Linked DNA regions of Mytilus edulis. The protein of the gene in region 1 purifies or fractionates together with the protein of each later gene. This does not show direct contact. Links are inferred from orthologs where the notes say so. Each region holds a gene or a part of one and is shown in the gene's direction. Other genes may lie near its edges.

Region 1 (3,761 bases):
TGATAAATAGATGAAAAAATACATCACTTTGTCTGTAGTCTATTGACTTTTCGAAATAGCTAAAGTCTGCAATAGTTTTTGGATCAATATAAATTAGGTAAGAAGATGTGGCATGACAAGTTATCTTGTAAATTTCTGTAAAACTTCTGTAAGTTTGTTGTGGAGCTGATACATTTGTGTCATAGGAAGGTAGTCAAAACAATTATGGTGTACTAAAAGGGTATTCTATTTTTCATTTTGATGCCACTGTAAGGAGTAAAAGCAAAAAAATAAAATAGCCTTTCAAGATGTCATAATTATTTAGAATAATAGGATGATTTGATCTGTCCTTTTTAGCTTACCAGAGTTTGGAAATATTTTAATCTGTTACATTTTACTTTTAGCATAAATTGTTTGATGCGATATTTCGCAACAATTAAAAATTTGTTATGAACTATTTGTGTCCATATCAATCATTGAATTGGCACATCACTGAACTATCAATATTTATTTTTATTCTTCAACAGTTGCTTCTAATAAATTTCAAATCCCTATTATATATGGGACTGAAGAAACGATTTTACTCTCTCATTAATTAAAGGTCCAATGTTCTGTTGGTTATTTAAACGCTCGACAGACCTGGCCATTTTGAAACTGTTCTATTGCTTCATCTTCATTTATCTCTGGGTTTACTTTCTCTTCAACTTCGTCTGCCATTTTTAGAATCACGTGACTCAGATTTTCACGTCCGGAATTTTACTTCTGTTCCGTCTTTTGTCAACTTTTAGAAAAATTTCAACAGACAATAACAAAAATGGCGGATTTGAAAAATCCAGAAATTTTAGAAAATCATGACTTTAATGTACAAATACCTCTACGAAGACTTTCGAATGGAGAAATATTGAATAATATGTCTATAAATGAAACAAATGGAGACAAGAATGGACATGGAGAAAGCGATGTTCCTGATTTGGGAGATCACTACCTTGTTCGAAGATCTGATGGAACTTGGCGTAGGATTACCTTGATAATTTTTCTTAAAATTTAGCATTTAAAAAATATCTGTGTTTTCATGATTTTTATACGACCGCCAAAATGTATATTGGTATGGAGTTGGCGTCGTCGTCGTCGTTGAATAGAAATCTATGAAAGAGGTTTATGACCACAAAAGCCTGAAAAGGAAGGTTGGGATTGATTTTCGGAGTTTTGGTCCCAACAGTTTAGGTATTAGGGGCCAAAAAAGGGCCCAAATCAGCATTTTTCTTGGTTCTTGCTCTATAACTTTAGTAATATGAGACAGGCATTACCTGTAAATGGGGACGAAGTCTGTATGAATTATTTTTTTGTAACTTTAATATTTGTTAAAAAAAAGAAATGGAAATACCGTAACGTTTCACGTATTTTGGTTCTGTTGTTAGGATTTTAGTTGTGACGTTATTAAAGTTATGATGTCATATACAATGTAAATAAAGAAACGCTATCATCAGGTAACGTTTTTTTTCATATCGAGGAATTATTAAAAAATGAAATTGGTATTGCGTTCCTTCCTATTTTATACAAGACTGATAAATTTATGTTTTACTCAAAGTTTCATACAAACGAGACCGGAAAAAGGAAGTACATTGTAGATTTCTGCGCAGATCCGGAATTTCAAAAACGCGACAAAAAAAAATTGAATGATTTTGAGTTCATTAGTACAATGAAAATATCGGGAAAATTTTCCCCGATTTTTTTTTTTTTTTTTTTATTGAATTTTCTACTGTTATTGGGGACTTCGTCCCCATATAAGTTAATAGAAATCTATTAAATTTAAACACAAGGTTTGAGAACACAAAAGGAAGGTTTAGGGTTGATTTTGGGAGTTTTGGCCCTAACAGTTTATGAATAAGGGGCCTAAATAAGCATTTTTCTTGGTTTTCGCACTGTAACTTTAGTATAAGTAAACAGAAATCTATGAAATTTAAACACAAGGTTTATGACCATAAAAGGAAGGATGGGATTGATTTTGGGAGTTTTGGTCCCAAAGGTTAGGAATTAGGGGCTCTTTTATGATGGAGCTTCATCATCATCAAAGACAACATAGTTAAAATATCTTCAAGTATGATGCCTGCCATTGTTAAATTTTCTTCCGCAACCATTAAATGGACCCTGCCATTGACAGGACATTGTTAAATTTTCTTCCACTATTATCAAAAGACAAATGATCCCACCATTGTCAGAATTCTTCAATCAGAATTTGTTGTCAACTCTCAGTAAGCAATTATTTACAATCAATTGCATGTAAATGCGTAACCCTTAGGCTTATACACCTTATGGCTATTTTGAATTCCATCCCACTTTACCAGATAATCTGTCCTGCTTGATCTTTTGATGTCATACATACTTACTAACACTTGTACACTTACACTTGAGTGAGATCTTACTTTGTTGTTTGTACAGCCGGTGTATTCTAGAATTTTAAACCGAGTTTGGCCATTGTTGACATTTCGACTTCTGGTACTTGAGTACGAAAAAAACACATGGAAATTTGTGAACAAGTTCAAGAAAGGACCTGATATTTTGTGTTTATTCTTGTATTTGTAAGTTACAATAGGCTTCAAAATGCTGTCTACATCATCAATACAACAATCACTTTTACATTGTGGCATCAGATATTGGTGGACAAATAGGGATAAGGTGTATTGTATTATAATCCAAAGGGTCCTTGTGTTTACAGTCTGAAAGCCGTGATGGATATCTTAAAATAGAAAATCATTAGCTTGTACAAGAAGATTGACACACCTGAGAACAGGAGAACACTTAATTATGTTTCAGCAAATGCTAATAATGAATATATAGAGATTAAAAAAAGTAAATTTTAAATCTAGTTAAAAGGAAAAAGTTTAACAAGTTGAACACATGCTTTTATATATTGAATTACGTAATCAACATCTCCCTTTTTATAAGAGTACAAAATAAGACATAAAACAGATCATAATTTCATACCAAATAGCATGAGTAAAGCAACTTTTGATAATATTGAAACTCTTTACAAGTTAAGAAGTAAAAACATGAATATCAACTGCAACTTGATAATCTGAATATATATCTTATCGTATAAATTTTGAAATTCATTCATGGAGGTTGTTAGAAATCCAATAAGAAAAAATGTGGGAACCTGATATCAGATTAGATAACTGATATAACTGTTTACAATACTTTTACAGATGCTGCAGAGATAATCCAAACTAGACTAACTGACATGGTGGAAGGCAAACATGAATTTTATGTACACTATGAAGGATGTAAGTATAGTATTTAAGCTTTTCTGTACTACAAAAAAAGTCTACAATATAGTATTGACAAGTTTGTTGCGAACCAAGATTTTCATATATTTTTCCCAATAGAATAATTCTAATTAACCCATTTGCTGCCTGTTGTTTTTCAAGGTTGCATTTTGTGTGCCGGAAAATACGATGACTCGACAACTGTGACGTTTTATGTCCAACAATGATGTCATTCAATATATGCATCATGTCATGCAAAAATGACCATTATATTTGGGACCAATTGAAGAAAAATAAAACGATGTTAAATATTTTGTTTTTTATTTGAAAAAGATACAGCAATGAGGACAAGCTTTCATAAGTTAAAACATGAATATCATGTGTCCCTCCGGCACAGTCAGTGTGGACATATGTTTCCCTCCAGCAGCAAGAGGGTTAGAAAGAATCACTGCTTGTCAATTAGATTTAGGGTAGCCATTACTTCTCTAGTTATAAGTGTCAAAAGGGTAGCTATAG
Region 2 (3,761 bases), on another chromosome or scaffold:
GAGACTATATAAATCTGATTTCGCTTGCAAGAAATGTTTTTTTTTATGTTCTTTTAAAATAAAAGTTCCCTTTCAACATCCTTTTCAGCTAGGGGACCGTAGTCGTCCCGCGACGAATAATGTCTTTGCATCCAACATGTCACTATTTTCAATTTCCTGTCAAAATTTTCCGGCCAACCTTCATCCTGGTCAAACCATTTTTATCAAATATATTTATTTGTAACTGGTACTGAACTGACTATTAATAAAATATACGCCACTGGACTTGAAATATAATCAATACATATTCACAGCAGACAGAAGGCACCAAATGGATATTAGTAAAAGAAAATCTGAAAATATCTTGACAAAACAAATAAAAAAATGACGAATAGAAAAACGAGTCTACAAATCTATACATATTTAATAAAATGCTGTACAAAACAAACCCTATTACAACCGGGAATATATTAGCTGCTCCACTGATATTTCATTAATTATATATCTGTTAAGCATACCTTGTCCCAAATGTGCATGGCACACGTCGTATTGCTCATGGCACCCGACGAGTTGCTCGTGGCAAGTATAAATTCGATGATAAAGAGGATGGAATTATATGAATGGTCAGATGAATGTGTGATTTCAATTAAAAAAATATATATTCTTTTTTTGGGGGGCTGGTTTTCAAGTTTTTAGTTTTTTTTCACGGCTAGATAGGTGCAATTTGGGGCATTGTTGTCACGAAAAAGATAGTAATAACCACAGGTACTTGTTTCAGAAAAAAATCCTATATACCGGTACCTTAATGGTAACACGGTATGTAGGGGGAAAAATCTGACTGACAAGTGCCTGTGGTAATAATATAAGTTTCAAAATGGGAAACAAATATATTCTGAAATATCATTTCAACTGGAATAAGTATTTCTCTTCATTGGAAAATAGTTTATAAAACATTGATCGTAAGAAACTGAATGAAGGTATATGTTTAACGTACTTTATGTTAAATTATTGTATACGATGTTACAAGGATTTGTATAGTTACTTAGCTATACAAGAGGGTCTAGATGGGGGGTCTGTTATTCTGTAAACACTTAATTTTCACCCCTTTTTTTCTAATTTTTAAAATATTAACCCCTTTTTTCTTTAATCTTCAAAAAATTAACCCCTTTTTTCTCTATTCTTCATATTTTTTGCCCGTTATTCTCTAATCTTCATTTTTTAAGGGCATTATTCTTTAATCATTTAATCCCATACAAATCCTTGGATGTTATACAGATCTCATACGGATATTTTTCGTGACTATTCCTGAAAATAGAACAATTTTAACTGCGCAATTCCACTTCCTGTTATTATGAGAAGTGACGCGGGAATGAATCCCTGAATAGTTATTTAGCAATTGAGTGTATTTCTTATCTTCAAATGGATATCGTACTATGTCCATAAGAGGCATAAAGTTCATCTATTCTGTAGGAGAACCCGTCCTCTGTTTTGAACCAGATCCGACAAAGGCCCGAGTACTTTATGATGCAAAGGTTCTTACCTTATCAAAACCTACATTGTATTTTTAAACATTGTTTACACCCTTTACTTTCATTTTCCACAAAGTCCAAAACTTCTTCAAACAAAAACGTTGAAATAAACGTAAACAATCGTTTGTATAAATGAACATGTACATGGTTATTTTCGTTCAATATGTTGTTCATTAATTTATTTAAGGTTCATGTGGACCCTTTGGCTAAAATAGCCGTATTTTCACCGTAAAATTTACTCTGTGTACAGACAAACCTGTGCATCTGGAAAAGTTTTAAGGCATAGCATGCCCTAGATAAATAGAGGTCAAATGCATTGTATGATTTGGAAAAATCATAACTTAACTGGATTTTGCCATGCACTTTTTTGTCTACTCTTCCGGCGCATCAAGAAACCAGAAGATGCAGACTTGCTGCAGAAAGATCTTTCCTCGCTGGAAGAATGGAAAAAACAGTGGCAAATGTGTTTCCACCCAGAAAAATGCACAGTCATCCGTGTCTCTGGACGACGTCAACAACATCAGACGTCCTACTCATTCCATGGACACAGATTAGAAACAATAGACAGTGGGAAATACCTTGGGCTCACCATCAGCAAAGATCTCACCTGGTCAAATCACATCAACCAGACCATAGGGAAAGCCTCCAAGACACTAGGATTCTTACGGTGAAACCTGGGTAGGTGTATCCCAGCAACAAAAGCTACAGCTTACTGCACATTAGTCAGACCAACCCTGGAATACAATGTATGCTTCCCCGGTATGGGATCCACACCAAATTACCATCATACAATGTACGTGACATAGAGCAGGTACAGAGACGAGCAGCTCGCTTTGTCTACAGTTGCTACCAGGACAACTCTACAGGATGTGTCACAAAGCTTCTGGACCAACTTCAATGGGAATCACTGCAGCACAGACGATGGAAACAGAGTCTAGTGCTGTGTTACAAAACTCAACACCAGATGATTGCCATTGATCCAGCCAAGTACTATGCATCAGGTGACAGAAGAACCAGGGGCAACCACAAATTTAGACAGACAAGAGTGAAGAGAGACATCTACTACCACTCATTCAGTCATTCTTCCCGAGAACAACGAGAGAGTGGAACAAACTCCCAGAATCAGTAGTGGAGTCCGGATCACTAGAGGACTTCAGGGCCAGAGTGAACATCATCCCCTGGACCCAACCACACCTTAAATAGACAGCAGGAGAACCAGTGTATATAGTTGTAATTTAGCATATATTTTTATTGTAAATACCATCCAGATTTTCCTGGACTTTTACTTTTGGCCAGAGAGGAGTGACCTCCTGTCTGTTTGAGATGCACCCGAGTCAATTACACTTTCATAGAGTTCGACTCGTAACCGGGAAGAAGTAGTATACACGAATACTCTCTGGGGTGAATGGGAATATATATTAACTGCAGATCAAAATTGTCTGTAACCTCTATCTTGAGTACAGACAAACCTGTGCATCTGGAAAAGTTTTCAGTCATAGCTTGTCCTAGATTAGTCAGAGATTACTCTGACTCTAACAACTGTTTTTCCAGACAAGCTGGGGCTGTGGGACATCAGAGCTTGTCCTCTATCAAAAAGTGGATATTTGCCCGTCCAAAATACATGTGCTGCTTTGTCGCTTCTGATGCCGACTAACAGCCTTGGAATTATATAAATCGGGTATCAATTCAATTGGTTCAATTTTCATTTATTTCTTTATTTATGTAAGTTTCATCTACTTGCCGCCACCCTTTATTTTCTCATATTTAGAAAGTTTTCACAGTGACCTATCGATTTGTTATGCAGATCAAATGATCTGTATACTTTTTGGTGAAAAAAAGATTAAAACTTTTTAATTTACAGGACTTTGCAGCTAAATGACTAATACAAAGGTGTTTTTTTTTCCACATACAATGTATAAGGCTGTATCTCAAAAATGATTTATGATTATTGCTCTGAAATTTACACACTTCTTAGTTATACATGTATTAATCTAAAGATCTGTATACTTTTTGGTGATTATTCAAATTTTTATTTTTGAGTTAGAGTATTTTGTAAAAAAAGGGGAGGGGGTTTTCACATGTCACGCTGTATCTCTAAAACGATTTATGGTTATTGCTTAAAAGTTTACACACTTCTAAGTTATATTAATTTTGAAGATCTGTATACTTTTTGGTGATGGTTCAAAATTTTATTATTTTATTTTAGAGATATTGAGTGTTTTGTAAACAAAAAAAAGATTTTTTTTCACATGT
Region 3 (3,761 bases), on another chromosome or scaffold:
GCGTCACTGATGAGTCTTATGTAGACGAAACGCGCGTCTGGTGTACTAAATTATTATAATACTGGTACCTTTGATAACTATTTAGTGTGATCAAACCTGTTCTCAACTATCCAAATGGTTCGATAGAAGGCTGACAAGCTTGTATGTCGATATAATGTATTTGTTTCAATTTTCGTAGCTACAATCCCGTCCCTTAAATTGAAAAGTTAAAATAAGAATTTCGAGCTTTTCAAAGTTGAGTTTACGATCTTAAAGGGGCACTAGCTGTCAAATTAATGTTCACCGATTTGATTCAAATTTTCATATTCAAATATAACATACTAAAACGTATATCCAAATAAAAAAGACCAAAATAAACAATTTACAATTCATAAACTCGAAATTATGTATCAGCATTTCGTATGCATTTTAGTCTAGACTCAATCTAATTAACCATCGATGTGTCCTTCCGAAGAATGTCGACGATAATATATTCTGTTGAAAACATACACAAAGATATAAATAGATAGCAAGGACGTGTAATTGAACATATATCCAGTCTGTTCGATTTCATATTATAGATTAAAGCAATAGTTGAAAAATCGATTTAACGTGTATGGAATAAGTTTTTGTAGATCCAATAGTCAATCAAATGGTTTAAAAATTACCCCTGTTTCCCTTTTTAAATTGTTGAAATGTTTCCCTCTTACTAGCTGATCACGCCTAGTGCTGCACGTGTAACCCATCTCTAGCTAATTAATTAAAGTTCACATGAAAACGGATTTTATTATTTACTTGCTATTGATGATATTTCATTAGCAAAATTTATCTGCTTATTTTGACAAAACTGAACCAAACTAATTGTTTGTTTGTTGTTTGCTCTATGGTCGGGTGGTTGTCGCTTTGACATATTCACCATTTCCTTTCTCAATTTTAATTGCTAAAAGTCTTTTTACTTAACTATTTCACTTTGATTAATGATTGAACAAAATAAGTACAATTTTTTTTCTTTCTATTATTCTATTTTTTCTGCTATATCTCGTAGCTTGTGTTCCATTAAAGTTGAATTGTCGAGTTTTTAAAAAGTGAAATTTCGAGTTTAAAGTCGAAATTATTAAAAGAAAAATCACATTTTCAGAAATGAAAAATTGAAATTTCGAATTGAAGTCGAAATTTTCAAATTTTAATTGTTTAATATCAACTTAGAATTCATTTTTAATGACAATTTTATTTTATCAATGTCTCCAATACGCTTCCGTATCTTTTCGATGGTACGTTGCAATTCATAACTTTTGTTATATTTGTTCGGTAATTAGTTATATTACTTTAAGAGATGTTCCGAATTATGTTTACAAAACACAAAATGGAGAAAATGGAAATGCGTCAAATGTTTGCAGCTAGTGAATTGCTGTTAATGTGAAAAACTCATATCATTGGTAAATATAAATCGATAATTATAATAAGAAATTAGTGTATTACAGAACTGGAGACCTTCTAAGAGGTGACACAGTTGTATTTTATCCCGTCACATTCGTCACCGGTTCGACCACGCCGACGCATGGCGGCATGACATGATGTTTTTGTTTACATAACATATAGTCATGTCTCGTTTGTTTCTGAAGGAGGACAAGATAATACAAAAAATTAAAATATATTTTAAATAAAATGGAATAATTTGAATGGTAATCGTTCTTCTTGTATCTCTTTTACAATATTCATTTCATAAACTAAAAGATGATGAAAATAAAGAAAGGTTGACAGGGGAAGTAACTCATCATCTTTAGTATTATTTTATATTTTTATGGCCCCGTAATGAAGTTGTCGGTGCCATATAGTTTTACCCTTGTCCGAAATTCCAAAATTCTGCAATTCCGTCATTCCGCAACAAACCATCATACACAGTTTTTTCTAAACGCCTTCAGATATTGGGCTGATTTTTGGTATGCGAGTTAACAATGATGCGTTACAGATCAAGTTTAAATTTCATTACGTTTTTTTTACCGAAATCATGGTCTGTGGACTTAAATAAATTGTGTGAAATTTTTTAAACTCTTTCAGATATTGGTCTGATTTATGGTATGTGAGTTATCCATGATAAGTTACAGATTAAGTTTAAGTTTTGTTCTGCTCAGCTTATTTTTGGGCTATGGACTTCGATAAATTGGTGAAAATCATAGTTATATAGAATTTTTTTCTGAACACTTTCAGATATTGTGCTGATTTTTGGTATGTGCATGATGTGAGTTACTCATGATGAGTTACAGATCAAGTTTAAGTTTCCTTCTGCTCCGCTAATTTTTGCCAAAAGTAAGGATTTACATCTTTGAAAATTGTTGAAAATCACAATTATACAGACTTTTTTTCTGTACGCCTCCAGGTTTTCAGCTGATTTTTGAGACTATCATCATGTTTGTGTCCACATGTGTTATTGAAATTGCAGATTTTTCAACTTTTTGAGACGGGGGGCCATTCATGTTGCTTTGACACATCTAGTTTTATTTAAATAATTTATACATGTGATGGACTCTGAAACTCAGTTCAGGTGACTGGGAAATTTTGGTTTGGGGTTGAGAATGTGGAGATCTCAGATCAAGGATGTTTTATATCAACATTGATTTTTATTTAAAAAGTATACTTCATTTCTGGAATCATGTCTTTCACCGAAAAAGTTCGTCAATTTTGCACTTCAGATTTTGTAAGTACTGATAGAATGTCAAGCTTTCAGATTTGTACAATACCGATCATGCAGTTATAAAAACGAAACAAGTTTAAAACAACAAATGAAAAGAAGACATACGGTAAAACAAACTAAGAGTTGTATGATTAGGTTTACAAAATGTAATTTGTTTATTATCCTTAATTGTTATGTACAGTTCAGGTGACTGGGAAATTTTGGTTTGGGGTTGAGAATGTGGAGATCTTAGATCAAGGATGTTTGATATCAACATTGATTTTTATTTAAAAAGTATACTTCATTTCTGGAATCATGTCTTTCACCGAAAAAGTTCGTCAATTTTGCACATCTGGATGACATCATTTACCAGATAGAAGGCGCGCCTGTATCCCTGCTCTATCAAAAGTTTCCATCACTTTCAAAATCGTCATTCTGTAGGGTATTATTGAAATAATTTATGTTCCGTAAGTACGTACTCTTGATTGCTGTACGACTGAGTGAGGGTGACCATCTTATTAGATTTTAATTTCCCAAATATTGTGTCCAGTATAAAATAAAACTTTTTCACCTGTTTGCTCAATATATGTTGGAAATGATGATGCATGACATGATGATGGAAGTCACATGACAGATTATAATCAGTCTGAAAACAGTATCCCGGAACTGGCCTATTGAAATGGAACTCCCTCCAAAGTCATATACTTCATTTTGTACTTAGCGTTTTCACCTGACGATATAGAGATATGGGTATTTAGTCAGATCTTTTCAGGAAGTTGTGATTATATCAGAAAACCGACGTGATTATATCAGAAAACCGACACTGATAAAATTAATAAAAAATTTAAAAATGTTCAGACTTTAACATGTTTAATAAAATCTATGTTTTGGTAAGTTGATGTAATTAGTATTGAAGCAAACTAATCTTTAACAATATATCATATAACTTTGTAAACACGTTAATTATGAGCTATGAAAGTCAAGTAGTTCCTACATTTTTTAAATTTATTTTTTTTATCAAAAAAAATTATTTGTAAATTTCTGTCAAACAGAAGTTTTTTTACCCTGGCTACATACAAAGAAAAATAATTTGTGTTTTCAATGTTTTGAA

Evidence for each region.
Region 2: the proteins of histone acetyltransferase KAT8-like (region 1) and MSL complex subunit 3-like purify together in Homo sapiens (affinity purification with mass spectrometry; 4 studies listed by BioGRID and IntAct, with this or other methods). This does not show direct contact. The link is inferred for Mytilus edulis from reciprocal best matches to the Homo sapiens genes KAT8 and MSL3.
Region 3: the proteins of histone acetyltransferase KAT8-like (region 1) and PHD finger protein 20-like protein 1 purify together in Homo sapiens (affinity purification with mass spectrometry; 3 studies listed by BioGRID and IntAct, with this or other methods). This does not show direct contact. The link is inferred for Mytilus edulis from reciprocal best matches to the Homo sapiens genes KAT8 and PHF20L1.

What each region holds. Positions count from the first base shown.
Region 1 is NC_092352.1:21,231,858-21,235,618, reverse strand, and holds the start of histone acetyltransferase KAT8-like, read left to right. Parts: upstream 1-793; coding exon 794-992; intron 993-3,185; coding exon 3,186-3,263; intron 3,264-3,761. Other genes in the region: leucine-rich melanocyte differentiation-associated protein-like, read right to left, coding at 619-696.
Region 2 is NC_092351.1:20,165,192-20,168,952, reverse strand, and holds the start of MSL complex subunit 3-like, read left to right. Parts: upstream 1-1,306; 5' UTR 1,307-1,412; coding exon 1,413-1,511; intron 1,512-3,761. UniProt on the Homo sapiens protein: Non-catalytic component of the MSL histone acetyltransferase complex, a multiprotein complex that mediates the majority of histone H4 acetylation at 'Lys-16' (H4K16ac), an epigenetic mark that prevents chromatin compaction.
Region 3 is NC_092355.1:3,752,559-3,756,319, reverse strand, and holds the start of PHD finger protein 20-like protein 1, read left to right. Parts: upstream 1-1,299; 5' UTR 1,300-1,415; intron 1,416-3,761.